4 linked regions of the Rhinolophus ferrumequinum genome follow. The protein of the gene in region 1 interacts with the protein of each later gene in a pairwise test. Links are inferred from orthologs where the notes say so. Each region holds a gene or a part of one and is shown on either strand. Other genes may lie near its edges.

Region 1 (7,280 bases):
ACGTGATTGAACTTGTCTACACATGTGTACTCCCAGAGGCGCACACTGTACAAGGTCAATGGGCCTGGTACACACTGCGCCCATCAACTGGTTTCCTGGGACTGAGGATATGTAAAAGCAGCAAGAGCAAATGGAATAAGGAGAAACCCAGAAAGAAGTCAGGATGGCACTCACCAAGCCTCCTCCATGGTAGTGGCTGCAGGACACATGCCGAAAGCCCCACTGCAGGGGGATCCCCGGGGTCGGGGATGCATCCTGGTAGCCCAGCGGGAACGGGTGGTAAGTGTGCATGCTGGAGCAACCGGGGTACAACTTGGAAGGCTCTCTCTCCAGGTACTCAGACCCCACTGCACAATCCGAGTTGATGCTCAGAGAGAACCCTGAAAAGGTAAGCAATGAGGAAGTGTTAAAAACACAAAGAGCTAGGAAAAAGAGCATCACATTACTGTCCAGCGACAGCAGTATAGTAAACACAGATCCATTTACAAAGAACTCCCAAATCCATTATGCTTTTGACCCTCCCTGCTTTTTAAACCTTTCTACCATATCATACTGCTCTTAGAAAAAGTCCTTGGCACAGCCATGAAGCCCCATGCAGGCTGGTTCCTGCCTCCACTCCAGACTCCTCCAGTACTTAACATAGCAGTTTCTTCTTTCTCACCCACCTCAAGGCCTTTGCAATTGCTGTTCCCTCGGCTTGGAAGGCTTTCTCCCCTAAATCCACTTTGCCTCTTTAAGTCCTCATTACTAGGCTCCTACTCTTCTTCTTTTATACCACAGCTAAACCATTAATTATTAGAGCTCTATACACTGATTTGTGTAATTCTTTGATCAGTAATGTCCCTCCCACAAGGACAAGATCCTTGAGAGCAAGGAATCTGACTTTTCCCCCCCTCACCACTTCATCACTGGCACATACCGTGTTTCCCCCAAAATAAGACCTAACCAGACAATCAGTTCTAATGTGTCTTTTGGAGCAAAAATTAATATAAGACCAGCTCATATTATATTATTATATTATATTAATATTATATTTATTATATTATATTATATACCTGGTCTTATATTTTAGTAAAATAAGACCAGGTCTTATATTAATTTTTGCTCCATAAGATGCATTAGAGCTGACTGTCCGGCTAGGTCTTATTTTCTGGGAAACACCGTATTATAACTAAGTGCTCAGTCTGTTTGCTGAGAGATGGAACAAAGAAAGGCACTATGTCCATGGAAACATCCTCCTAGGATTGCTGTTTCAGGTCTGCCTTCCCCATCTAGTTCCCTAGGGACCTAGATTTTCCAAGAATGTCCCATAAGGCAGAAATGGCCTCCAGAGAGCATCCAGGCCAATCCCCTTAGCATAAGAGAGAAGAGACTGCCACAGAAGGAAGGAGCTTGCTTAAGGTGACAGGGTGAGTAGTCCCCAGCTACTGACTCAGACTTGTGGTCTTTTTACCACATGCCATAGGGGAAAATCAACATACGTCTGCACTCAAAAAGAGCTGTTGTTTAAAAGCCTCAAATCTACACATGACTTGGGAGTTGTATTTTAACGAACATGGTGGCAAAGGAGAAAAAAAGAGTCAACATCTCAATGAACCAACTTTCTCTTCCTGCGTGGAGCAGAGACGCTGTCCCGTTCCCACCCACTCGTAGGAAAAGGGCGGGATAGGGTACCAAAAGGGGTGCGCAGGCGCAATGAGCCAGGGCACGGGTAAGGGCGGGGCCTCCAGAAGGTAGAAAGGTGGGTGCGCAGGCGCAGTCATAGTTGAGAGCGCTCATCCGGAAGTAAGTCCTAGGAGAGGAGCCTCCAGCCCAAGAAAAGAGCGGGAAAGGACGCGCAAGCGGGTTGGGACAATGGAAAGGAGGTCCTCTGGGAGAAGCCTCTAGCCTGTGGAAAGGGAAGAAAGAGTACACAGGATCAGTAATCGTTGTAGGGTGTGTGGGGGACAACGTTCCGGGGGAGGAGCCTCCAGTCAAAGAAAAGGGCGGGAAGAGGTACGCAAGCGCAGTGGAGCCAATATCCCCCATGAAAAGGAGCCACAGCTAAGGCGACTGGGGGCCATTTTCTATTGCAAGATGGAAAGGCAAAAATTGTAGCTAAATGTTAAAAGCTGTCTGGACCACCCACTCCCTTCTATCGCTCTTTTTACCTTTTTGCAAAAAAGGCGCTCAACCCAATTTTGTATTATTCAGTAAAGGTTTCTCAAAGCAAGGTTACCTATGGAAAGCATTTTCCCCACCCCCACCCCTAGGGCCCATCCCAGGCAGCGGGATCCAGGCTGGCCTAGGACGCCAGCGCGGCCTGCACGGAGGCTGCAGCCCGGAAAGGAACTGACCCTGGGGACAAGGCCGCACGGGGCCTAGGAATCTTACCGAAGTCGGCGAACGGCGGACTGGGCACGGGACGCATGGGCCTGCGCAACTCCAGGCGGCCGGGGCCTCCCCTGCCTGCGGCCTCCACCCCGAGCTGGGGCCCCACAAGACTGGGCACAGCCACAGCAGCTCGTTCGCTGGGCCCCATGTGGCCGCGGCCGCCCAGAACTGGCTGGAAGGCGCTTGGGCCGGGGCTCGGGCCCCGCGGTGGTCTCTCCAGCACGTAGGTGGCCGCGCGGCCCTCGGGGCCCGCTGGCTCCGCGTCTCCAGAAGCTGCAAGCTGAGGCAGCGGGTGGAAGCTGGAGGCCGAGGCAACAGCCGTGGCCCCGGAGGCTAACTCATGCTCTTCCTCAGAGGCCTGCTTCTTGAGCATCTTCTGCGCGGCCATGATCTTCTGGCGTTCAGTGATCAGGTAGCACTTCTCGCAGGTGCACTGCTTCCAGCGACACTTGCCAGCATGGCCCTTGACTGGCACCAGGAAACCATGGTTCCGGCACCGCGAGCACTTCGGGGTCCGCAGCATCTTGTCGGCCAGCTTGGCAAGGTCTGCCTTCTTAGCACCTACCGCCTCCTCTGGGAGCTGCAGAGCAAGTGGAGCAGGGAAGAGCAGCGCCCCAGAAGTCTCTGGTGCTGAGGACATTTGGATACAATTGTAACAAAACAGCTCTCAGTACGTCCCGGGAGCTGCAGCAAGACCTTTGCATTTTCCCTCCCTTTTGGAGGGTGCAAAATTTGGAGTTTCTGTGCATTGGTTCATTAGACGCAAGGGTTTGGGTTGAATAAATTCTTCATGGAACGTTATTGCATATATGTCATCTGGATTATCTGAAGTCTTAGGCATTTAGTTTTCCAAAGTTTCTATTCCCGCCACCCCACAGACAAGGTATTTTTTAACTTCAAAAAAGGCAGAACGATATTCAGTGGTCCACAGATTTAAAGCTACAGTGGAACGAACCTCTCAGCAAACCCATTACAGTAGAAAAGCATTCTAAGAGGCAAACCGTGTTTCTCCTTCCAAAAGCTGGGGCTTCTGCTAAATTTTATTTCTCTCCCCTGCAAAGGAAAAAGTGTGCAGGCGCAGCCATCATCATCAAAATGCGGTTCACAGCGATGCTTCCAGAATATTCTCAAGAGCTCAATGCCCTGTTATAGGTGCTCAAGGATGTGTCCTTATGGTAATTCCCATTTCTTAAGAAACTTGTTGGTACAGGAATGCATTTCTAGAAGATGGTGTGTTGCTGTTGTTGATGCCTTCCAAAGTAAAGCATACTTAGAATGCTTTCAAGTAAAGTAGACTTGGGATATTTTAACGTGAGCTTGAATCATTGCTTAACTTTGCCATGAATTTTGTTATCACTGTAAAGCAACCCAAATCTTGGGACAACTGAAAAGCTGGCACAAACTTCATAGTTTCCCAGGGCTACTAAATCACTTAATTTTCTTGTTTGATAGAAATTTGTGACACCCTGAGGTTTGTTTTTGATATTTTGGGGGTTTTTTAGGCTCCAGAAAAGAAAAAATGGGTCACTCACACCTAAGTTGAAAGCTTATAATCATAGCATGAGTCATAGTTGAGGAGGTACTTATGGTTAATACCTGGCTAAAACAAGTGCATTTTAAATTGCCTTTTCTCTGAAATTCTCTTTCTGGCAGCAGAATGGTAGAAGCTATAGCCCTGTGTCCACCTTAATTTTCCTGAGCCTCTGGTTGCAGCTGAACTATGCATTTCTCACCAGCTACCTGAGAATAGGAAATGGCTGCCATTCTGAGGCCTGTTAGATACTGGGAAGCTGAAAAAGAGGTTTGTAAAGTCTTTTTTCTGCTTTAAAGAAATATATTTCCCATTAAGAGGGCAAGAGTATGTCCTTCCTGTATTATTTGGCTCGTCATGAATGTCACCCATTTGGAGAGATCTAAGTTTGTCTCTGCTTTGCTCTAACACCCTCTATCTTAATTTTTTATTTAAAACATGGTCCCATAGATAAAAAGACAGTCAAGCTCTTTTTCTGACTCTACCCAATTCAAAATATCTAATTTTTTCACAGACTTTTTCATTTGAAAATGGTACATAAAAATCACAGTTACAGTACTACTGTCAAAAAATCTGGGGTATAAGCTGCATTGTTTCATGATGATGCAAATTGTAAGGTCAGTTTCTATGGTACCAAATTTAAATTTTAACATCAGATGATAAGGCCTAAAAAAGAAAACTACTCTATTTATATTTCATGCTTGACTACCCAAGCTCTCTTCATTTTTCTATTAATGATATAAAGTAAAATTCTACTCAAAGCCAACTATTTGAATTAACATATTTTAGCCTTGTTAACTACAAAATGCTTCCGTATTTACTTCATAGCTTTGGGGGCAAAATACAACCAAGGTGATGAGAATTTGCATGGTGCTTTGAGAACATTAATAAACAACCACATATCTTTTTAATCAGTAGTCACATTATAAGATGTAGAAACCCCAGGGTTTATACAGTAAATAAATCTAAGGGGGGAAAACACTAGTTTATTTCTCTCTTCCCCCCAAAGTCGCAATTTATGTAGGTAAATTCCAACAGAGCTTTATTTATTTCACTCTTGGAAATTCAGGCAAATTGATAGTTTTGTTTTATTTAGATTGAGGACTGATTTCTTCTTAAGCTGCTGCCTTTATACACACACACACACACACACACACATACATATATATGTATATATATACATATATATTCAAAGAAATGTATTTTAAAAGATGGTAATAACATCAAAGTGAAAAACTAGAGGTCAAAAAAGGATGGGAGCAATAAGCACACAATGAACCCCTTCCCCACACCTAAACCTTAGAAAATTTATGTTTAAGAAAGTCTGCATCATTATAAGCAATGGTTTATAAAATAACAAGTTAGAATTGTTGAGGAATCACCAGTTTGACTAATTAACCACAAAGGAGCTGATTGGTAGTCATATCTGACTCCCAACTTCAGTCAATAATGGCCCCTTTTCCCTTGGATTCCAAGTTTCCTACCTCGAATAATGCCTTCTCTTTGGTTAATATGGTTGCTATTGATACTGTTTAATTCATATTCATTTTAAAGAGCCTGTATTATGCAGTGCATTGGGGTATCATTTATAATCATTAAATATTGCATGCACTGCAATGCTTCCTTACTGGTAGCACACAAGAATAAAGAAGGCTCTTTTTTTTGTTTATAGTATCTTTCCCCCGACAGCTATAACCCAGATAGCTGCTATCTTCCCCTTCTTCAGGCTCACTCTAGTGAGCAATGAAAACTTTATTGAAGATTTTGTAGGGATGGAGGCAGGATTTACATGACACATCCTGTAGCAGATGCTTGAAAATTCTGCCTTAGCATTTCTGTTCTCTCAAGATCCTCTTCTGTTGTGCCACACCCACTCAAGAGAAACTGGCCTCTCCTCCCCCTTTGCCCCCATCAGTACCCAACCTCTCTAGCTTCTGCCTCCTTTTTTGATTTGGCGAGAGCGCTGTAATAGCTGCATCTATCTTATTGTCCTTTATGTCTAGCACACAATAGATATTCAGTAAATATTTATTGAATGTATAAGTGAATCTTACCTCCCTCCCCTGCCAATGTCAAAGTTATCGCCTCCTTAATTAGCAGTAAATCAACTTGGCTTCAGCAACTTTCCCCAAACATCATACAAAACAGAAAGCCCAGGGTGAACAGGTCCACTCTCTTGACAAGCAGAATTTGGGGATCAGCTTTGATTCCCTTCAGCTCACCCCCTACCCCTAATAGTTTAATAATAGTAATAATAGTTGCTAGCACTAAATCTGTATATGTGCCAGTAATTCTTAAGTCTTTTATGTGTGTTCATATAATCCTCACAACAACACTCTAAGGTAGGTACCATTATTTTCACCTCCATTTTATGTGGAGGAACAGGCCTAGAGAAGATAAGTAATTTTCCCAAAGATTTCCAGCCATTAAGTGGCAGAGCCATGATTCAAAACCAGGAAATCTATTCTCAAGATCCACGTTCTTAAGCATATTAACTGCTAACTACATATTTCTTCTAAACAAACACAGTGCTCTCCTCAAGGAAACTTTGATAATGAATAGAAATGTTTGTCATATTACATACCTTACTACAGGTGGGACAAAAGGGGGTGAAAGTGGTAGCAACCTGGGGAAACGTCCTGGGATGCCCTGCTTAGTTGCATTCCTCCACCCAAAGCTGATATTTATTGAGTACCAACTATATGCTAAGCACAAGGGACACAGAAGTAAATAAAACGACAGAATCTTTACCTTTAGGCATACCTTTTGGCAAACCACACAGTTAAAAAATAATTCCAGGTGAAAGCTGGGGATTGAGCGGGGGATACCCAGGATGCTATGGGAACCCCTATGAAGGGCCTAACCTGGATCAAGAAACCAAGGAAGACTTCCTTAAGGGGCTGACTTCTAAGCTGAGGCCTTAAAGATTGGGTAGGAATTAGCCAGCTACAGGAGCAGGAGGGGTGTGTTGCAGACGGAGCAGCATGTGTGAAGGCCTGCAGGGTAGCGATAGTATGTGAGGTCAGAAGACTGGAGAGAGATGAGGTGTAGAAGTGAAGCAGTAGCCAGGTCTTGTAGGGACTCCTTGGGGGAAATTATGGGAGTCGCTATCTAAGACTAAGGAGAGAAAATGACATGGTAAGAACCAGATAGAACCCACCATGGCCAGACGTCTAGTCCCTGCCCTTGGTTTTCTTTCAGAAAGCGGAGCAATAAGTAACTAGGACTCGCATAGGTATTGCAAGACTAAAATGGAGTTGAGTGGGGTTTTCTTTGGGGTGGTTGTTCCAGGTGGGGCATGTACTCAAGGCGAGGCATGGCCCTGAACTAGCACTGTGCTAGGCAGGGTGGTTCTTCCTAACCCTGGAGCCCTGTT
Region 2 (7,032 bases), on another chromosome or scaffold:
TGAGGCCAAAAGCACCTGGAACACACCTTTAAGGGTCTTCAAGGACTCCCCTTGCTCCAAGGTCCTGGGGCTTTGGGGTTTTAGAACAGGAAGGCGCTAACAAACTCCAGGCGTCTGATTTTAGCAAGACAGCTAAGCCTGGGGGTGGGACTGGGAAGGTCCTCTGTTGGGGCTGTTTTTCCTGAGGGAGGAAGAGCTGCCACACAACTGAGGGGTTCTCTGTGCTCCCGGAGAATCTACCCTGAAGGGCGAAGTTACCCAAGAAGAACTAGATCCACGCTGGGGTCTTTATTCCTCTTACTCCCGATGAGCGGTCTGCCGTCCCCTTAAGCACAGGAGTCCTTCCTCTCACCTTCTCCGCTACATGGCACCAGCAATTCTCTAGAGCAATTCTCTCCTCTCCAGACCCACATCCATCTTCAACTCCGGCCCCATGAATCTGATCCTCTTACAGCCAAGCTCCTGAGGAGCTGTCTCCATTTGCTATCTCCTTTTCCTCTTTTCCTTGACCCCGCCACTCCACTGGAATATCTCTTGACAGCATCACCAATCAACCCCCAGGTCTGTTCCATCCTCATGTGATGCAACCCCTCAGTAGGACTGATGTAGCTAGTCAGACCTTCACATCTCAAACGCCTTCTCTGGGCTCTAGGTCACCGCCCTCTTTCAGTTTTTCTCCTGTCTTACTGGCTGCTCCTTCTCAATGTCTTCTGCTACAGTGTTTCCCCCAAAACAAGACCTAGCAGGACAATCAGCTCTAATGCGTCTTTTGGAGCAAAAATTAATATAAGACCCAGTCTTATTTTACTATAAGACCAGGTCTAATATAATATGATATAATACAATATAATGTAATATAATACAATACTGGGTCTTCTATTGATTTTGCTTATATTATATATTATTATATATTATATATTGAGACCTGTATAGTAAAATAAGACTGAATCTTATGTTAATTTTGCTCCAAGAGATACATTAGAGCTGATTGTCCAGCTAGGTCTTATTTTCGGGGAAACACAGTAGTTCCTCACAAGTGAGAAGACTCAGGGCTTGGTCCTGGGACCTCTTCTCTTTCCCATCTACACTCCACTTTTCTAGGTGATTTCATTCAATCAAGAGCTCAAAATACCATCGATAGCCAGAGGATTTCATATGGTATGTCCAGATTGGGTCCCTCCTCTGAATTCCAGACTTGTATGTCCAATGGCCCGGTCCAGATTGCCACTGTAGTATCCACTAGGCACCGCAAACTTCATGTTCCACACTGAACTCATCTTGCCCTAGCACAGCCGATCTGGGCAAAAACCTTAGCATGATTCCTCTCTTCTCATACCCCCAAACCAAACCATCTGCAAATTTTGTCGGTTTTACCAACAAAATACATCCAGAATTTCACCACCTCCATTGCTTCCACTCTGGTCTGGGCCACCATGACCTCCCCCTTTCCCCATACCATCTCCAGGCAACACTGAATCCAGAGAGATTCTGTTAAAATATATTCAGATCATGTCACTCCTCTGAGCAAAACTTCCAATGGCTCCCACCTCATTCACTAAGCCATAAACTTGTACGATGGGCAAGCTTCAGTACCTCTCTCCAAACCTCCTCTCACTCACTGCTCCAGCACACTGGTCTCACTTCCTCAAACACATCAAGCAAGTTCTTGCCTCAAGGCCTTTGCACCTGCTATTCCTCACGCTTGGGATGCTTTCGCTCTTCACTCCTGTTTATTTTCAGGGTTTGCTCCCTTACCTCTAGGTCTTTATTCAAATGTTACCATCTTACTGCAGCCTTTTCTGACCATCCTATTTAAGACTGCAACCCTCTCGGGCGTACTCTATTCCCCTTTCCTACTATATTTTTCTCCATAACATTTTACTTAGTTATCTTATTTACTGTCTGTCTTTTTTATTAGGGTGTAAATTCCATTAGGTCAGGGATTTAAAATATTTTTATTGATATATTCTCAGTGCCTGGAACGGTACTTGGCACAAATACATGTGTCCAATGAATGAAGAAATGAATGAAAGCAGGTTTGTAATTGAGTAGAAGCTAGTGCCCTAGGGAGAGAACTGAAGCATCTATAGGGGTAATCCTTAGGCCTATCTTTAGAGGAATTATTTACCCGGGTCAGGGAGTTTGAGAGGTATTTAGCTAGAGGAAGGGAATACTTACCCAATAGGCAAGACCTGCTCCAATGTTAGGGATATTTACTCACATGGAGAGATGTGTATCCCTGTCAAAGGGATATTTACCCAATTGGTGGGGTGGGGGTGGGGAAAATCTCCTACCAGGGTGCAGACATCACCTATGACATGAAAAGTATTTACTTGGGTGAAAGATCTGCCATTGCAGGGAGTAAATTAAGCCGGTAATGGGGCATTTATGCAAATTGGCAGGTTTGCCTCTGCCTGGGACGTAAGGACTCAGGGGTAGGGGTGTGTGTGTGTGTGGAGGAGGAGGAAATCAAATCAAGGGGGACATTTATCTTGGTTTGATTTTCCCTGTTCTGGAGTATTCACGCTTATGGGGAGGTCTGCACCTCTCTCCTTATAATCATTTACCAGGGTGGAGATATCTTCTCCCTACTAGTCGGGAGAGATATTTGCATCCTAACGTATTTAGTAGTATCCACCTGAAGAAGACGTTCTGTACCAGTTCAGGAGCGACATTTACCTACTAGTATCAAAAGAGGTGGGCATTCTTTGCACGTTACACCTTTGGCGCCCCCTAAAACAAATACGACCTGGATGGCCGTGGCTCCGGCAGTATTTACCTGGCTTAAGTTCTCACCTTGCAAGAAAGAGGCAGAACCATCCGGCCGGGACAACAGGTTCTGTTCGCAGGCAAAGTGCCGGAGGCTGCAGCCGGGGCCCTGAGGGCCCGGCTCTGTTCCACCCGCAGTGCGGATCTTGGCGTCAGTCTGCATCGCCCCCTCCACAAGACCAAACCACGCGCGCTGTCGCTTCCGCACAGAGTGCGCGCTTGCGTACAGGCGGCGTACCCAGTGCGCACGCGCCGATCCCGGACAGCCCAGCTCGGGGGCCCGCACGTGGCTCCCCGTTTACTAACAACCTGGCCCCGCCCCCTCCTGCCTCACAATTCTAGAAGGAGCATTGGACAGTAGAGAAGGCGGGGCGGGCCTTGGCATGGGCTCGTCCTACCCGAGGCCCCCGGGCCTTAAAATCCTGAGGCTCTGGTCACGTTGCCCTTTTCTTTGCCTGTTACAGAAACAACTGTGATGAGGCGATCAGAGTAATTTTTGGGTAGCTAGGTTGTTTCATACACCCATATATAGATGTCGTAGAGACCGCAGGACTAGTAGCAGGTGGTTTCTTGGCAGGGTGGTGCTGGCATTTGAGTAAGGCTCAGGAAGGGGCAGCTCCCAGTCTCGCGGAGGAGAGGGGAGGAGCGCAGAGCAGTTGTTGTTGGTCAAGATGGCGATGGCGGCTGGCGCGGCGCGGATTTGGGGACCAAGTAGAGGCTCGCGCTATGTTGGCCTGCTCCTGCGGCGGCTTGGGGTTCGGCGGCTGGCTAGAACTGTGAGTACCTGGGGCACCGGGGAGTTTTCCCCAAGGGGGACTAGGGGTGTCAACGCTGTCTTTAGAGTGTGGGGTCCCTGCAGGGAGAGAAGGAAGGGCTGTCACAGAAGGGACAAGGGTAGGGAGAACCACTTGGAGAGGACACTCAAAGGGAGACCTTCCACTTCCTTAAAAGAGGAAAAGCGAGGCAGCTTCTTTGGGGATCCTGAAGGAGGGATACAACTTGGAAAAAGAGGGGGGGGTTCCTCATTAGTTGCCACCCACCCCCCACGGGAGGGGTGGCCCCCTGGAGAGACCAGAGAAGGAGAGGAGACCTTTGCCCACGGGGGGTGGAGAGTGAAACTGCCTTAGTGAGGGGAAGACTTTGTGTTCGGTCAAGAACCCCCACCTTCAAAGAGGAGAAAAGAGAGATCACGTCCCCTGCTACCGGCTTTCATAGTGCTCTGTATTTCTTTGCTCCTTTGCTGCAATTCTGATTTTTAAATGGATGGCATAAAAAAGTTGTTTGGTCCTGGGCCGCCTCACCAAGTACCAGGACAGGGATCTTGTCTGTTTTGATCACTCTATAAAGGAGATGATCAGTAAATATTTGTTGAAGTAATGAGAGGAGAAAACGAGGGAGAGGGGTCCACAGGGCACTTTGTCCACATTTTTTAGAAACACATCGAACTGGAAGTCCCTGTGGGCTACCTTAGAACTATGAACTGAAGTTTCACAATAAGAGAATAGTTGTTTAGAAGGTAGGTTATGAAGCAAGACCACCGTGGTTTTATATCCCAAATCTACAAGTTTACAGCTGTGTAGCCTTGGGCAAGGGATTGCTGCTCTCTGGACCTAATTTCTTTCCCCCTCGGGAAAATGCTAACAGTGGCACTACATAGTATTGTTGTGAAAATTAAATATATAGAATGCTAAGAATTGGCCCTGGCATATGATAAGGACAATAGGAACGTTGGCCACTTTTGAAAGTGAGGGAGGAGGAAAGGGAGGGAGAAGAAGGGTGACCTGGGTAGAGCCTGGGTTGGTGAGGGCCTTGGAGAGAATTTGTCAGGATCTTGTGGTGTTGGGTCTGACCCTCTGACCCTCCAATCCAGAACATAGGAAAGCTGGAAGCTGTGGGAAGGAGCTCTAGATAAGAGGAGAAACATGGGAGGAGGATGAAGAGGATGGGTCGGGAATGAGGGGAGGGATCCTTGGAAGGGCGTCTGGATTTTGGAAGGGCTGCTGGGGCAGGATGTGGGTAGGGCAGTCTCCTGCCTTTGGGTTTGTCTGTGTTGCTTTGTTTTTTTTTTAAAGCAGTAAAAAAAAGCTGTTCTCAGTCACAGGAGCCTGTTGGCTGAGTCAGTGCGAGATGGGCAGGACTGGTGAAAGTGTAGGGAAGGGTCATTTGTGGTTGATTAAATATTGTTTCTCACCCCAATAAATTAAAAAAAAATATTCTTCCTTCTTGACTCAGTCACCCTGCTGCCCTTCCCTCGTTCATTTCTTTTTTTTTTTTTTTGGTGGGAGGGGTGCGCGACAGGAGGAGGAGGTCTTTCAGAATCCCTACTTTTTATTTACATATATTTTTAAGTATGTATATTTTTGGAGTCCCTGTTTTTTCTTCCCCTCTTTTATTTCTTCCACTTGGTCTAAGATATAAAATAACACTTTTTTTTTTTTTTTGAGTGGAAGGAAGGAGGAGTAGCATTTAATCAAAGATTTTAGGCCAGGCTGTCAATAGAACTTTTTGCAGTGATGGAAGTGTTTTATATCTGCACTGTTCAGTACAGTAGCCACTAACCACACGTGGCTACTGAGCCTGAAATGTAGCTAGTGCCACTGAGGGACCGAAGTTTTCACTTTACAGACAGTTGCCAACTTATGATGGTTCGACTTAACATTTTTCAACTTTATGATGGTGGGAAAGCAATACACATTCAGTAGAAAACTTGTTTCAATTTTGAATTTCGATCTTTTCCTCGGCTGGCGATATGATATGCAGTACGGTACTTCCTCGTGACGCTGGACAGAGGCAGTGGGCCCCCAGTCAGCCATACGCTCACGAGGGCGAACAGCTAATACTCTACAGTGTTCTGTGTTGCCAGCGCTTTTTGCATATTGTGTTTTCACACCCTGTCATGTCTACAAAACGCACATCTGTGTCTCCTGCTTCTGATGAGAGGAAAAAGGAAGGCAGTGACTCTTGAGACAAACTCAAGATAATCGCCCCGTTGTAGGCTAATGTAAGCATTCTGAGCTCGCTCAAGGTAGGTGAGGCTAAGCTCTGATGTTCAGTAGGTCAGGTGTTTTAAATGTGTGTGTGTGTTTTTTTTTAAGATTTTATTGGGGAAGGGGAACAGGACCTTATTGGGGAACAGTGTGTACTTCCAGGACTTTTTCCAAGTCAAGTTGTTGTCCCGTCAATCTTAGTTGTGGAGGGTGCCGTTCAGCTTCAAGTTGTCCTTTCAGTCTTAGTTGTGGAGGGCGCAGCTCAGCTCCAGGTCCAGTTGCCGTTCCTAGTTGCAGGGGGCGCTGCCCACCATCCCTTGTGGGAGTCGAACCGGCAACCTTGTGGTTGAGAGCCCGTGCTCCACCCAACTGAGCCATCTGGGAGGCAGCTCAGCTCAAGGTGCCGTGTTCAATCTTAGTTGCAGGGGGCAGAGCCCACCATCCCTGTGGGACTCGAGGAGTTGAACCGGCAACCCTGTGGTTGAGAGCCCACTGGCCCATGTGGGAATCCAACCGGCAGCCTTCGGAGTTAGGAGCACGGAGCTCCAACCGTCTGAGCCACCGGGCCATCCCCTTAAATATATTTTTGATTTATGGTATTTTCAGTTTATGCTGGGTTTTTTTGGACTTCAACCATTGTCAGTCAAGGAGCATCTTACTTAATTTTAATGAATTTAAATAGACATAAGTGGCTTCTGGCTTTTGTGTTGGATGGTGCAATTTTAGCCGTTCAAAGTGGAGCCAGGAGATAGCGCCTTGTGGGGGGGAACAGACTGTAGTGCACAGATTGGGTTGTTCTGGTGGCTGGGTTGGGAGGACGGCTGGGGCTGCCTTATTTCTCCCTGCCTGTCTGCCCCTCCTTTCACCGTGGAGGCATTTGCCTGATTCTGCCTTCCTCCCTCCCCCTCCAGTCGCTAGAAGATAGGTTAGTGCGCAGGGAGAACAGGAGGGAGACTTGATTGTCACGGAGTCCTGAGTCAGTTTCTCAGCCACCACCCCAAGAAGCAAGTGGGACCTCAGCCAAGTCATTTCACTTCTCTTTGCTTAGCAAATGGGTAACTAGAGTTCCTGCCCTGTTGGAATTTCAGGGAGCACCTAGAGCTCCCTGTGTGAATTAGCAGGGATGTTATTTCTCTGACCCAACTGATCAGACAGCCTGTCTGGGCTCTAGTACCCTCTGCAGTGTCTCCAAGTGGTTGGTGCCCTGTGTGTATTGTGGGATGAATGGAGATGGTCCTTACTGATCTAATTGTATGGGTCCATCTCCCTCTTGGCT
Region 3 (7,676 bases), on another chromosome or scaffold:
CGTACAATGAAAGCATGTATTTTACTTGTAAAGCTCATTAAAGGTTTTATTTTTATTTTTCTTTAACAGCATAATAGTCTGGAGACAGTCCTAGATTCGAATTCAGCCTTGCCCACTTCCAAACTCTTTCGGCTTTAATAGGCAATTTGCTTAATTTGTCTGTGCCTTGGTTTTTCCATCTGTAAACTGGCAGGCGGTGGGGCGCCATCATAATAGTCAATCTCTTAGAACTGCTGAATTGCTGTGAGGATTAAACTGAATCAGGCACCTACTACAACGCCTGGCACAAAGTAGATGCCTGATTAAATTGTCTCTTATTATTTTTAAAGTAAAAATAATAATTACTATTACTGGAAGAAGAAAGAAACGGACCCAAATTCTTCAGAATCCCTTCTGCCCTGAGATTCTCAGACCTCTGCCCAGCTTCCCGGCCTTCCCAGAATCCCAGCTCAGAGTCCCGGACACAGCAGACACTCAACAAATATTTGTCAAACTAGGAGAAAAAGAACTATTATCTTGTAATTTTCCATCTTAACGTGTTCTCTTCCAACTGCCCCCAAGGCTGTCCTCAGCTAAACCAGCCAGAAATCAGAGAATCCCAGTCCCCTCCCCTCCCTCAATATTGCCTAGGAATTTCTGAGGGATCTTGTGCCAATTCTTTCTCTTTGAGCCTCAGTTTCCCTAGCTGCATACAGGGGCTTGCGTCAATTTGAATCCTAGCTGTCTTTGGAGAAGGGGCACAAGCCCAGGAAGTCGGCTGTGACCACTGGCAGGGAAGACCCCTCAGAAGGTGGGAGTAACCCTCTTGTGGGACAGGGAACAGTGCAACTTCTGCCCACCCCCCAGGAAGTGGGAGGTTTGGCCACGGCCTTTAGTAGGGGGCCTGTGGGAGGGCCGGGGCCTCCGGGACTGGGCTAAGGGGGGGGCGGGAGGCCGGCCCAGACACTGCTCCTGCCCTTTTACGGTCTCAGTGAGTGAGGCAGCACTAACTCGGACATCCGCCATCCGCCTTCCACCGTCCCTGGGACCGGAAACGCGGGGGGGTGGGGGCGAGGGGCGAGGCTGGGGGCTGTGGGTTGTGGGAGAAGAGAGTCCCCCCCCACCTCCGGGAAGAGGGTGAAGAGAGCCTGGCTCCTGAAAACTGCCCCCTGTCCAGACAGACCTTGAAGGGAATGTTGCTATAATGGGAGAAAGGGTAGGCAGGAAGTCTTGAGGGTGTCTCTAGGTGCCCCCTTGCTCTAAATTTTCCAACCATTCCTTCGCATCAGAAGAAACAAATACGGGAGGGGGATTCTCTAATGGTCATAAAAAGGAATGCCACCCTGATGTCAGAGGGCAGAGGTATGGGGAACGTGGGGGAAGTGGGAGGATGTAGGCACCAGGGGGTTAATCCCCAGCCGTCCCCAGAGGCCGCCTCCACAAGCTGGGGGCTTTGGGGCAGGAAGTCCCTGAGAGAGTAAAGGAAGGGAGATAGTATTGTCAGGCTCTGGCCCCAAGGGAGAGATTATGGGGGGTCAAGGGGAGGAGAGAATGGGGGGATCCAGTCGAGTTTCCCAGCCCGCACTGGCCCCGCCCTCAGGTGCGCCCAGGAGTTTTGAGGCAGGCCTGGGTAAGACAAAATCCTTAGGTACCTTGGGTCCCCCCCCCGCCAGGATTAAATTCCTGGGAAGATAGCTGAAACTATCTGGGAAGCCTGGGTCCTGGGAAGAGAGGACTATGACCTTGAAGCTTTCCAGCGCCCCCTCCTCCAACCCCAGAGCTCCGATGGCTGGAGAGTTGGGGTAGCGAGAAGGGAGAGGCGCCGTGGTGGGGAAAGCAGCCAGCCCACAGCGCTCCTGGCCCGCCCCCCACACACCAGCTGTCTCGACAGGTGAGTCAGTAAGACAAAGGCCCCCCTTTCCACAGCTGCCGCACCCCCTCCCTCCCAGGGCCGCGCAGGTGGGGTAGAGGGGCCGCCCTTCTCTGGCCCAGAGCCGGGGAGCCGCCCTCCGCATAGAGCACTCCCTCGGTCCTAGGCACGGCCTGTTTTAAACAGATTGGGAGTGCGGAGCGGCGGGGGAGGGGTGTCCCAACCAGACCCTGTAGGCTACGTCTGTCTCCGTCCGCAACCACCTCTTCCATTGGATAAGAGCCCCTCCAAATTTAGGGGGTTAAGTACCCTCGAAGTTAAGGAGCGAGGTCCCACATGGTACGACTTTCCAGCGTCACGTAAAGAGGAACCCTGCAAACCAATGTCTACGTCTCAATCTCTCAGGTGCCAGGGACCCTCTGACTGGCCCCCCACAATCCCTCTCTGAGTCCGAGTTTAGATTTGGGGGGAGTCTGAGCCCTGACTAAATCCTGACCTCCTTACAGGGAGTATCTGCCAACTTGGAGGTCTTTTGAAGAAGTCTTTTAAGAAATTTGGGAGTCCTCCGAGCGCCCCAAATCTGAGGGCTCCCTGGAGAGCTTCACCGGTACCACCTCGAGCCTTGGGAGTCATGGGAAAATGGTCAATATTTGGAGCTCATCCAAGCAGGTTCGGCCTCAAAGCCGAGGCTCCGAGTGGCCGGTCCCCAAATTTCAGCCAGGAGCGAGCTGGGGGGAGGGGGGACAAAGGCGGGGCGGGGAGCCCGCCCCGGGTGGAGAAGGGTCTGTAGGAAGTTGGGGGCTCACCTCATGGCTGCTCGGCAGGCAGGCAGCGCACCCACAGGGTGGGTGCTGCCGGGGAGCCCCTGGCTCGAGGTTCAGAGGTCCGGGGTTGGATCCAGGTTCTGCTCAGTCTCCCCCAGGGTCCCGCCCCATAGAGTCCGGCTTCCTGAGGGGAACGTGGACGCGGCCCGGGCGGGTCTTCGGGCGCCTCCTCCCTGTGGGGGTTTGATCGGGGGTCCCTGCGGCGGAAAGGGCGTGCGGCGTCCCCTCCCCGGCGCGCCCCCTCGGCCAGCGGCAGCTACAATGTTACTCTTACTACTGTACTTCTCTTCGCTACATTTCGTTCCAAAATTCCACTCCCCACACCCACAATGCCCTGCGCCTTAAAGGGGCCGCGTACAACTCAAGGTGGAAAGGAGGGGTGGAGGGCGCTTAAAAGGGCAACGCGGAACCCTAGACCCGCTATTTCCCTCTCCCTCATCGTTATTGCAGGGATGCAAGCTGGGGTCACCCCCAAATTAGGGAGCAAGCTTGGTGGACGGGAAGGGATCCTTCCTTGATCCCTAGTTCTCTCCCACGATGGGAGTTCTCAGGGGGATCTCAATGGGGGCAGTTTCTTTTCACCTTCCCTATCGACCTCTCCATTTCTTTACATTCTGCTCAATTAGGGGGTTGGGGGGCGAGGAGGACCCTCTGGTTTAGCATAGGTTCTTTCAAATTTCCTCCCTTATATCCTCTCTTCGGACTCCCCCAATGTCTCTCTTGGCCAATTTATAAAAGGTTACTAAGAGTGAACCGTCTCCCCCTCCACGGGAGGGGGATGGGTGGTGAGGGCCCCACCCCCTTCACTGCCCCCCGCCCAGCCGGGGAAGGTGAGGAGGAAGTGGGCCGAGGGGGCGCGGCCGGCCGCTGACTCAGAGCCGCAGGGGGGTGGGGGTTGGACTCCGGGATAAAACCCTTGGCCCCTTCCCCACGCACGCCCCGCTGTGACTCAGTTTCGCCCGCGGAGGATGGCGGGATCATCCCACAACTGGAGGGCACCGAAGCAGGGAGATCCTCCCTAGTGGTGGCTCCCGCGAGCCCCTTCCCCCACAGGCCAGCTTCAAGCTGAGACCGCACACCCTCCAAGGCTTCCGCAGTGGTTACCGCAGGCTCCGCCCCACGTGACGTCACTTCTGTGATTCCCGCCTCTCCCCTCTCCCATAGAGCGCCACCTGTCCTAGGTAAGGTGCCCCCTAGCCAGGGGCCGGAGCCTGGGAAATCATGTTTGACGTTTCCAAATGTGTAAACTGAGGCCTGGAGACAGGGACTATATCTCGGCTATAAGCCCTCTTGCCTGAACCCCAGAACTCCAGTGGTACTTGGGTGCAAGGTATGAGGGTAAAACCAACAATTCTTAAGGCCCAGTTGACTAGGTGAGGGAGTCAACCTTCCCAGCCTTTGTCCAAGAAGAATCCTCTGCCTGGATGCTGTCCTGACCTCATCTCATACTTCTAGGACATGTTCTAACATTAATTCTTCTCTGCAGAATTGAGTAATCCTTTCCCCTACTCTACCCCACCCTGGGTGACCTTGAACCCTGATCCACCTGGGTTATAATTGTTTCTCTGTGTGTCTTCTCAGGCTGTGAGTTCTTTGGGGGCACAGGTAGACTTCATCGATTTCTGTGTTTCACTAAGCCAGCCAGGCCCAGAACAACAGTGCAATACACATTTATGCAACTGAATGAGAACCCCAGTTTCTGTGTGACCTTGGGCAAATCCTTTCTTCTCTCTGGGTCTCAGCTTTCCCATCTGGGAAATGGGAGATGTGGTGTCTCTGTGTGCCACCTGCACTGCAGTCAGCAAACTTTTTCTACAAAGGTCCAAATAGGAAATATCTTAGGCATATTAGGTATAGGGTCTCTTTTACACATTCTTTTTTTTACAACTCCTACAAAATGTAAAAACCATTCTTAGCTCAAGTGCTATGCAGAACAGCAAGATCCCTGCATTAGAGAAACCCTTGCATATATACACAAGGAGCCTGTCCGAGGATCTCTATGTCAGCAATTATGTGAGGGCAAGAAACTGAAAATAGCCTGTCCATCAAGAAGAGGATGGATAGCAAAACCATTGCACATCTTCTTGTCTGAAGCACGGGGCAGCAGCTAAAAAGAATGAGGTGTGTAAGTGGCATGAAAGAAGTCCCCAACATATTACTGAGTGAAAAAAATTGCCAAATGAGGGCGGCCGGTTAGCTCAGTTGGTTAGAGCGCGGTGCTTTTAACAAGGTTGCCGGTTGGATCCCCACATGGGCCACTGTGAGCTGTGCCCTCCACAACTAGATTGAAACAACTACTTGACTTGGAACTCGTGGGTCCTGGAAAAACGCACTTAAACAAACAAAAGTTTAAAAAAAATTTGCCAATGGCAGCCGGATGGCTCAGTTGGTTGGAGCGCGAGCTCTAAACAACAAGGTTGTTGGTTCAATTCCCCCATGGGATGCTGGGCTGCACCCCCTGCAACTAAAGATTGAAAACTGCGACTGGACTTGGAGCTGAGCTGCGCCCTCCACAACTAGATTGAAGGACAATGACTTGGAGCTGATGGGCCCTGGAGAAACACACTATTCTGCAATATTCCCCAATACATTTTTTTTTTTAAGAATTGCCAAATGATAGAGTATGAAAAAACAATCAAGGAAACAACTTGGGTGTACATGCAGAGTAAAAGTTCTGGAAAAATCCACTCCAAACTCATTGTAGTGGTTACCAATAGGATAGGGAATGGTATTGTGGGGAATTCGATGGTCATACAGCTCTTAAGCCTCATCTTGAAAATGCCAAGCTCAATTCTGCTTCTAGGCTATTGCACTGGCTGTTCCTTCTGTCTTGAGACACTCTTCTCAGGGCTATTTGCATGGCTGGCTGCTTCTCGGGGAAGCAATTGAGTCAGGTCCCCGCTCAATTGTCCCCTCCTCAGAGATCTTCCCTGATGCCCCTGTCTAAAGCATCCATCCCCCGGTGGAAAATTGAGTGGCTGAGGGACAGGGGATGGAGAAAGACCTCATTGTACACCATTTTGTACCCTTTGAATTTTGAACCAACTGAACTTATTACCACTCAAAAGATAAATGAATAACAATTTAAAAAACCAAAATAGATTTACTTATCGCATCCCATTTTATTCTCTTTGAGACACTTGTCAGTGTCTGAGATGACCTTATTCATCGGTTCTCTTGTTTGCTCTTTCCCCACACACATACTAGGTGGGCCCCTACAATAGGCACGAATCTCAGTGAGTCTCCCTGGTCGATGGCCACGAACAGTGCCCAATACATATTTGCAAATGACTGGGTAAATAATGTTTGCGGGGTTTTTTTCCTACAAGAAAAATGTATTTTGAGTCACGTAATTAACATTTAATAAAAATTCTCTCCTACCTCTCCCAAAACAGATGAAAAATGGAAAGAGAAGGTTATTGAATTGGTTGAACTCTCTTGGGTCCATGGTTTGGGGTTTCCTCCTCCTCTCCCCTCCCCCGGATGGTGGGAGGAACTTCTCCTCCTAAGACTTTCTGTGACAGGGAAGTAGGAGAAGGGGAAATAAGCATTCCGGGGTCCCTCCATCGGCTCATCTTCCTCTGGTCTATAGCTGGGGAAGGGGAGTTTTCTTAGTTCCGTTGGGGCCCCAGCTGGGCAAAGGGTCCCCAAAAGACAACAGCTGTCAGGCCTCCAAGTCCAAGGCAGAGCTTGAATGATGCCAGTGGCCTTCCCAGTCCCGTTCTGCCCCTTCTGTAACAGAAAATGTAAGAGACAGTGCATTTCTTTTCCTCTCAGTATCTACTCCCCTATATTCTGGAAGCATCACTCCTATTTTTCTTTGAGGGACCACGATTCCCCATCTCTAAAACCATCAAGTTTGGATGCAGTGAATCCCAACCATAAGCACTAAGAATGGACATATGACCCTAGCCTGGCCAATCAGAGACAACAGTGATTTGAGCAGACATGTGACCCAGTGCTACCAAGGAGAACCAGCTCTGAAACTACTGCTGCAACTACTGGGGAACTGGTACATTCTCTCCATTGAGGATGTTAGGCTTGGAGGATGTGAGGCTGGAGCTGCAACTCGCTGCTACCTCATGAAGAGACCCTGCCTGGGAACGAAGCCAACTCAGAGGAAATAAAACTACATCTGACAACTGGATGTAGTCATGCCTTAAGTCCCTGAACTCTTCAATTAACATGGCCCAGTAAATTGTTTTGTTTTTCTAGGTTGAACTGGGTTTCCTTCCCTCACAAATACCTCCTTCTGCTGCTGAGAACTATCAACAATAGCCCTCCTTCAAGTGCGAATAACCACTCTCTTCTCTGCTATGCAAAGGCCTTTGGGTTCTGGCCCCAGCTTTCTCCCTCCCATTTCCCCCGAGTCCCACCTTACACACCTTCCTTATACCTCACCCACCACATCTTTGGACATCTCCAAATGCCCCAAACTATCTGGGTCCAATTCACAATCTCTCTCCAAGATCCAGACCATCCTCAGAGATTACCTAGTGTCTGCAGTGTATCCAGGCCTGGGGACTGGTTAGCAACATTCCTTGAATTTTTCTGCCTTATTCCTGGATGGAGGGGGTGGTGCTTGGAATGATGGGGCTTTACAGAGCATTGCTGGGGGCACATTTCTTGAAGGGGAAGCACAGTCTGCTTCTCCTTCCCCACCAACAGTGCTTCAGGCCAGGAGTGAGAATTTATTTTAATATACTAGCCAAGTCCCTTGTTCCCTCTGGCCTTAATTTCCCCATCACTAAAGAAGGTAAGGTGTGCTGTATTACATGTTTCTAAGAGAAAATTCAAGAACACAGGGTCCTTACCTCCCAGTGCTCCCCTGAGGCCTGGCAGAGCTGAGAATAACCTTCAGCGATGACAGAGGCCCTGGAGAGCAGAGGAAGACCCTCAGGAGGGGACCCTCCTCCTGCCACCCCTCTCCCCATTCTACCCCATCCTACCCTGACTCACTTGCAGTACAGCCCTCCCCCAGAAGGTAAATCCGGGATGTCCTC
Region 4 (7,678 bases), on another chromosome or scaffold:
AAGATAGACTAACATAACACTAATAGAGTAAACCACATTAAAAAGAAAAAATATACATATTATTTAGAATGTATCACCCTCAACTAGTAGCCTCTAACATTTAAAACTCAAGTGGTTACTATTTCCAACCAGAGAGAAATGAACATTTGTTAGAGATAATGACATAATTGGAATTCTAGATTTGGAAGATTAAAATTATTGAAGCCAGAAAAATTATTGAGGTCAGAAACTTTCTAACAGAGAACCAACTCCGAATTATCATTTAGAGGTTTTAAGATCAACATAAAAGCAAAAGCGAAGAGCCTTTTAGAACTCAATTTACTTTTAAAAATAGTACGCATGAGGTGAAAATATTTCCAAACTTTTAAAAATAATCCCTTATGCCATTTGATTGAATTTAACATTTTAAAATTAAAAGAATGCAATTTAATCTTAAATATCATCATGGCCTATTTTCATTTTAACGACTATAAAGAATTCCTGCTAAACAACTGTACTTAAGGGGAAAAAAAAATCTTAACAGAAATTTTCACTAACACTGAGACAACTGTAACTTCACCAAAATATGCCAACTAAAAAATAGCGTATTATTTTTGAAATGTGATAAAATTGTCCCAATAATTTTAAAGTGTTTTCAATGTTTGTAACTACATATATGATTACAAAATGACAGATGAAATAATCTACTATGATTTAAATTTCAACTAAATTTAATATAGGTCAGATTATTGACATTACAGTTTGCTCCAAACATTTCTCGTTTTAAAAAAAATAACTGGCGCCCCTTAGCGCTCACATTTGGAAATACTCGATTTAAGAGTTCCAGCCTTTTTTTTTTTTTTTTTTTTTTTTTTGACATTCCAGAAAGTTTTCTGCCTCCACAATCTTTCAAATGCCAACACAAATAGGAAAAGCAGAACCCCTTAAAGGGACAGCTCAAGTTTTCTCTGGAGCAATTTGAAATTAAGAGATTTGCTGTTTCAACAGTGGGGGAAAAGACCATTTCAATAGCGGTTGCTGCTGCTTGTTTAACCTATGTAAGCAAAGACGAGGACTCAGTAATATCTGTTTTGTACTTTAAAAATTGTTTCTATGATTTTCAAGACAACGGAAAGCTCCTGGGATTCCTCTTTAACCATCTTTTATCACGGAAACATTTCCGGTCTTTTGTTCTTTAGTGACATGCCAAATCTCTAAGCTTGATTCCTTTTCCCCAGTTCTATACTGTAAAAATCACGAAATTCTTGTGAAAAATCTAAAATCCATTGTTCATCACTATTAAAGTTTTCAGTTTTCTTTAAACAGTCCTTCGGTGATGCTTCTAGACATAAAAAGAAACTCTTTGGTACTCGACTTTCAAAATAGACGTTTTTGTTGGTCATATTTTTTTCTCTAGTCCAAAAAATTCACAGCTACTAGATAGAGATTAATATTCCAGGTCAGGGCTGCAAGAACTTGTAAAGAAATTCTCGAGTTGGCCAAAATTGATCTTGTCATTCTTCACTCCCCGCGGCCCTACACGGATAAAGCTTTCTCTTTTTTTGCAAACTTTCACTAATTTTTATTTTCGCCCTTTCAAGTGCCTTGATTTCCTGTCCTACAAACCAAGGCAGCGGCGTCCTCGGGAGCAGCTCTCCGCCGAAGTTCTTTGAAACTCGGGATTCCGTTCAGCGTTTGTCCTCGCGGTATTTCGTATTCAACACCCCCCCCCCCACCCCAGTGAAGTTAAACTCCCGAACAGTTCTCTCGCTTCCCCAAACAAAAGGACAAAAAGTGCTTTCCGCTGTCATTTTGTCCTCGCCTTCGGCTAAATCAGCATTACTTTCGGTCTCCTATGGAATTCCTTTAAGTTAACGAGCCCCACGCGGCTCCCCCCGAGTATTTACAAGCTACACAAACTCCAAATCAGCAAAAGCCCCACTGGAATCTCCGTGTTAGGAGACCCCCACCCCGAGCGGCCCCGAGGCCGGTGTCCTTCAGGCGCCCGCGGGGCGCGGGGCCGGGCTCCTCCCCGGGAGGCCCGCGGAGCTCCGGGCCGTCGCGGTGCTCCCAGGCGCGGCTGGCAGCCGGGGGCGCGGGAGGCTCGCCGTGCAGCCTCCTCAGCGCAGCCCTCGGGCGGCGCGGGGCCCGGGGGCTGGGGGGCGTCCCGCCGGTGGGTCCCGCCCGCGCCGCCGACCCCCGCCCGCCCGCCGCGCCCCGGGCCTCGGCGCCGCCTCCGTGCGCCCCGCCCGGGCCTCACGGTCCCCGGGCGCACGGTCCCCTCTGGCCACGACCTTCCCGCCCTCCCCACACGCTGGCAGGAGCGCGTCGGGTCCCGGGAAGAGGGGCCGCCGCCCGGGCGCGGGCCGCGAGGGGCCGGGAGGCGACTCACCTTCGTCCAGCAGCCGCTCGAGGTGGTTGAAGATCCCGCAGAAGTTGGGCAGGCTGCTCATGAGCTTCTTGTCGTTCATCAGCTGCATCAGGTAATCTGGGGTGGGCTTCGGCTTCTCCTTCGTTTCCATTTCCCCGACCATATTCCAGGCTCCGCAGCTCACTCCGCCCGCCGCCGCCGGAGAGGAGGGAGGGGCGGGGAGCCCCGGCCGCCGGCCGCTCGGGACTCGGCGTCCCGCTCCGCTTCGCTCCCGCGCCGGGCGCTGGGGCGGCCGGACCGCGCGCTCGCCGCGCTCTCCCCGCCCCCGCAGGCACTTTCCGCCGCGGCCCGACGCGCTCCCGGCCCGCCGCCGCTTCTCGGCCGCCGGCTCGGCGCGTCCCTCACGAGGCCGGCGGGCGGGAGGCGGGTCTCCGCGGGCCGCTCGGGGCCGGACGAGGAAGAGCCGGGCCGCCGCCGCTCGCTCTGCTGGTCGCGCCCGCTCAGCCGCCGCCTGTGCCGCGGGCTCGGGGTCTCTCCGGGCTGGTCCCCGCCGCGGCCGCCTCTACCGTTGCCGCTGCAGCCGCGCTCTGACTCCGCTCCTCCTCTTCCTCCTCCTCTTTGCCGCCTCCTCCTCCTCACTCACTTGGCCGCGGAGTTCGCCTCAGTTCAGTCGGCGCTGCCAGCGGCGGCGGCGGCGGCGGCAGCGGGGGGAGGGGCGGCGGCGCAGGGAGGGCCGGGGGCGGGCGGCGGGCGGCGGGCGGGGCCGCGCAGGGCGGCCGTTAGCGGGGCGGCCGGCACGCTCCTCCTCCCGCCGCCGCACGCATCCCCCGGCCCAGGGGCCGCCGCCGCGCCGCGTCCCCCCCCGCGGGGTGGGCGACGGGAATGAGGCGGCGCACTGCGAGCCCGGCCTGGGCGCCGGGCCGGGGTCGCCGCCGCGGGCGGATGAGAGCGGCGGGAGGGGCCGGTGTAGGGCGGAGGGACCGACGTCCTGAGGAGGGCGCCGGGTGGCGGTGCTTTCGACTGGGGCGGGGGCGAGTGCCGCGCCGCCTCGCGCTCCCTGCCGCCTGGCCGGCTCGTCTGGCGGGCGCTGGCGGGCTGTGGCGTTAGGTGAGAGGGATTCCCAGCAGGACGCGCCAGGGCTGCGCTCGCCGCTGCCCGACCTCATCCTCTCCTCCCGTTACTATAGTTTTCTAAAAAGCTCTCATTCCTCCTCTCCTCCACCTCCCTCAACCCCCCAAATTTCTTTTATTTATTTATTTTTTTTAACGTCCTGTTGCTTCAAGGGGGACTTTCGGGGTGGGCGTCACGTGTCCCGACACGTAGCCGTAAGGTGCAAGGGCGCGTGCGCGTGTCGAGGCCTGCGGCCACGCCCCTTCCGAGGGTCGCCCCGCCCCCGCCCGGCTCCGTGAGCGAGGGGGAGGATGGGAGGGGCCTGCCGCGCGCCTGCGTGGGGAGGGGGCGCGCCCCCAGGGGGTAAGGGGGAGGGGTGTGCGGGCCCGGGTCTGCTGGCCCTGGTGTGGGGACCACAGCGAGGGGTGCGGGGCCCGTCGGACCCCGAACGGCCGGGACGGGGACGGGAAGCCGAGGAGGTCTTTGCTCCCAGGCCCCGGCTATAATGTTTGTGCGGCTCCGGGTCCGCCTCCGCGGGACTTGTTCGCGGTGGGCTCCGACTGCCGCGGTGTGGCTGAGAGGACCGCACGACGACTCCTAGTGTCCCCGCGGTCTTCTCCGGTTTTGAGAGCCGCGCGGCGGACGGAGTCTGAGGAGCGGCCGGTCTAGCGTAGGCGTCCCTCGTTGCCCCGACGGCGTTACTGCTGCCCGTGCAGTGACCTGTCCGAGCGGTGGGCGCGTCTGTGGGGACATGGTGTGCTTTGCTGCCGCATTCCGTTATTCCGAGAGCCAGCTATGGTCAGGAATGAGCTCCGCGGCGTTGGAAATTCTGAGCATCGAGAATGGCGTTTGCAATGTTCTGCTTCGTGATGGCAGCGGTATCCAGTAATAAAATGCAGCCACAGTAAAGAAATGAAACACAGAGCATATAGCCAATTTGAAAAGCGGAAGTCAACATTCTATTTGCAAACTTGCAAAAATTACCATGCAGTGGTCAAGAGGCTTTTCCCTGCAGTATGATGGATTTCAAATATTTAGGTTAGTTTAGGAAAGAATTTTCTGAACTACAACAATGTAGTAGTTCTCTTTGGTTTCTGCAATGTTATCAGTCACTAAATCTGCATTTTGTGACGTTCAATTAATAATTTAGATACAACTATTTGCTATCAAACTGACCATTGTGAGAGTTACCTGTACCTGAAATTTTCTGATAATCGTGTGTACTGTGTTTTAACTGGGAACCTAAGTGGGGGGGGGGGGGGGGGGGGTTGGGGTAAAATTTTGCTTCAAGCAAATTCTTAGGAACTTTTAAGATTGAGTTGCACTGAAGCTACTAAGTAAATTTCAAATAAATTCTCTTTGGCAAGTAACTTCTGGCCTGTTCATTTGAAGAACACAGTGAGTTTTTAAAATTAAGCTACTTTGATAGAGGAAATGCAATTGCCTTGGTGGACAAAGTTAACGTTTAACTCTCAAATAAGTTACCTGACATCCATTGCAGTTAATAGCGCCATAGAATATTCACATACTAATTATTTAAAGGATGAGTTATAAAAATGCAAGAAATAGTGATTTCATCAAAAAGCTGTTGTCTCTTTTAAAACTGAAGTAAGGTGTGCTTCTTCAATACCTAGCAAAATGATAAGTGGTTTGAAAGGGTTTGGGTAGTAAATTATTTATTTGATCTGCTAGTGTAAAAGATTCAGTCCCCCTTCTTAATTGGTTCACCTCCATATTAAACTCCTAGGTCCTGTGCTAAGTGCTTTACATGTGTATTATTTAATCTTCACTTCAACCTTGTGGCGTCGGTCATGCTGTTATCCCCATTTTATATAAGGGGAAACCAAGGAGAAGGAGGTTAAGTAACTGGCGCAGGACTGTAGCTCATGAGTCCTAGGTCTGGGATTCAAATCCACTTATATTTTACTCAAAGCCCATGTTCTTTGCACCCCAATAAGTCACACTGAACCTTTTGACAGTGTTTGACCATTTTTGACCCATAGAAACTGGAATATCATATGACTTCACCACGTACTTACTTATAGGAGGTGAACCAGATCAGAGTTAAAGAACCAAGACAGGCACTCTTTGGTAGTAAATCCCTATGGTTACAGCATTTGGCAATAGTAGTTACTCTGTATTAGCTTTTCAAATTCACATGGGTCACTTCACCTCTCTGCTCACAGTTCTTCAATGGTTTCCCCTCTCCAATAAAAAACCCGAAGTTCTTACCAAGGCCTGCTTACCAAGAGTCCATGTGCTCTGACCCCCTGCTGCTTCGCTGACCTTATGTCCACCCCTCTTCCCCTAGACCCTAAAATTCCCTCCCCTCCCCCATCCTTAAACAGGCAAAGCATTGGACACAGTGGGTGGCTAGTAAACATGCTTGGAGTATTCCTGACTAATTCTAGGGTGAAAATGCTCAAGGTGATTATGCCAAGGTCCCTTCCTGTAGTAGGTTTTTCTATCTGGATCTCTTTAAGAAAAAGGGGAAGTAAAATCCTCTTCCTGAGTTTGTTGGGCTGCGCACTGGGTGTTTCCTCTCCTTGCAGTTTTCCCCACACACCTGCAAGCCTGACTCCCACCCTTTCTCAGTTCTTGATGGGAGAAGGCTTCCCTTACCACAGCGTGCGCGCGCACACACAGACTGCTTACTCCCCTTTTAATTCTTTAAATAGCATTTATTTCCACCTGACACATTCTGTCTATGGGTAGGTTTGTCTGTCACCGACCCCTACACGGTAAGCTCCACAAGAGCAAGGACTCAATTTTGTTCTATTTGGAATTCCCAACACCTAGAACAGCATGTGGTATATGTTTGCACTCTTTAAAAATATGTTCAAAAAAGGTATTAAGTACTGTTATGTTCCAGGAACTATGCAAAACCCTTATCTACATTATTTCTTGTAATCAGTACAGCAGAGGTTTGAGACGGGCGTGAAGAGCCAGGTGCCTCATTGCACACAAGGCCACTATCCACAGTTCCCGTCCTTCTCTCCGTCACACTCCTGCCTCCGGCATTTGAGGTCTATAGTACACCACTCACTACCCAACATATAATAAGTGCAGTGAGAATACAAAAATCACTTGCCTTCAAGATGCTTAAAAATCTAAAAATTAATGTGGACTCTTCAATCACATTATTACAAACATATCGTAATACGACATTGACAAGTTACAACATACTCAGAATATATGTATGGGTAAGCTTCCAGTTGGAAAGATCCTTATAATGGTTTTTTGTCGTTGTGAAAAATTATGTCATTTAATATGTTGACACTAAAATGGTTCCATATCAAACATCAGTAATTAACCATGAGTGGGAATAATATTTTCTGTTCTAAATTTGATTTTCTATTTGCTTATTGCTATTCTTGACATTTAAATAGAGAATTATAGTATTCCACACTTTTTTTTCTTCATCACCATGGAGTTCTTGCAGGAATGCAAATATTCCTTGGATTTAAGAATCAGTCTTTGATGGCTTTTTGTCCCAAATGTTCTTTCTAAAAATCTTAAATCCTTAAATTTTCCTAGGAGGAAATGGGACATTCCCAGTATCTTTGTAAAGTCAATCTTTGTTTATTGTCTTAATAGATTTTTTGAGTCTCCTTTTAAATTGTGAGATGGCTTATCATTTCAAAGGTTGAAAAGGACACATTTTAAGTGTGAATATCTTAATCAATAAATATTTGAATACCTGTCTTCAATGAACCCTGGGGCACTTAGGAGCTAAGCTGAGGGTTAATATCACACACATATGACAAGTTAACTAATAAAAGTAAATGATATTATTATTCAGCTTTAGCTTCAGGTGTATACTGCAGTGCTCAGGCACCTACACCGTCCATGAAAAAAAAAGTAAATGAGAAAGACAAAATGCTGTAGGAATGGAAATGAGCACTGCCACTCCAGGCCTGGAAGCCTAAGCAGAACTGCCCCGGAGGTGGGTTTGATCTCAGGCTGGAAGAAACCATACAAGTGCTCAGGGAGGGCACTGACAAAAACTTGGAAAGTGGGACAGTCTGAGGCTTTAAGGTAGGAGTTTCCTCAACAGTAGTAGATGCCAGATTTTGGTTGGCCCTGAATTTCAAGCTAAAGTATTCATAGAGAAGAGACGTAGGAAGTTTCTTTTTTAATACAAGGAAATTAATCAATAAAATAGTACCATGGATTCCAGTCAGTGAGGCACATTTATATCTGATTGTGCAAACACAG

What was found.
Region 2: the proteins of DMRTB1 (region 1) and EXOSC5 interact in a two-hybrid assay, tested with the Homo sapiens proteins (2 studies listed by BioGRID). The link is inferred for Rhinolophus ferrumequinum from reciprocal best matches to the Homo sapiens genes DMRTB1 and EXOSC5.
Region 3: the proteins of DMRTB1 (region 1) and VASP interact in a two-hybrid assay, tested with the Homo sapiens proteins (2 studies listed by BioGRID and IntAct). The two-hybrid records come from large-scale screens. The link is inferred for Rhinolophus ferrumequinum from reciprocal best matches to the Homo sapiens genes DMRTB1 and VASP.
Region 4: the proteins of DMRTB1 (region 1) and QKI interact in a two-hybrid assay, tested with the Homo sapiens proteins (2 studies listed by BioGRID). The link is inferred for Rhinolophus ferrumequinum from reciprocal best matches to the Homo sapiens genes DMRTB1 and QKI.

What each region holds. Positions count from the first base shown.
Region 1 is NC_046292.1:38,263,772-38,271,051, reverse strand, and holds the start of DMRTB1 (doublesex- and mab-3-related transcription factor B1), read right to left. Parts: upstream 3,014-7,280; coding exon 2,374-3,013; intron 381-2,373; coding exon 175-380; intron 1-174.
Region 2 is NC_046298.1:39,685,715-39,692,746, forward strand, and holds the start of EXOSC5 (exosome complex component RRP46), read right to left. Parts: upstream 3,001-7,032; 5' UTR 2,933-3,000; coding exon 2,797-2,932; intron 1-2,796. Other genes in the region: BCKDHA (2-oxoisovalerate dehydrogenase subunit alpha, mitochondrial), read left to right, coding at 3,441-3,545. UniProt on the Homo sapiens protein: Non-catalytic component of the RNA exosome complex which has 3'->5' exoribonuclease activity and participates in a multitude of cellular RNA processing and degradation events.
Region 3 is NC_046298.1:41,839,605-41,847,280, reverse strand, and holds the start of VASP (vasodilator-stimulated phosphoprotein), read right to left. Parts: upstream 3,001-7,676; 5' UTR 2,661-3,000; coding exon 2,656-2,660; intron 1-2,655. UniProt on the Homo sapiens protein: Ena/VASP proteins are actin-associated proteins involved in a range of processes dependent on cytoskeleton remodeling and cell polarity such as axon guidance, lamellipodial and filopodial dynamics, platelet activation and cell migration.
Region 4 is NC_046286.1:103,614,633-103,622,310, reverse strand, and holds the start of QKI (KH domain-containing RNA-binding protein QKI), read right to left. Parts: upstream 3,015-7,678; 5' UTR 2,514-3,014; coding exon 2,372-2,513; exon of another isoform or gene 2,324-2,371; intron 1-2,323. UniProt on the Homo sapiens protein: RNA reader protein, which recognizes and binds specific RNAs, thereby regulating RNA metabolic processes, such as pre-mRNA splicing, circular RNA (circRNA) formation, mRNA export, mRNA stability and/or translation.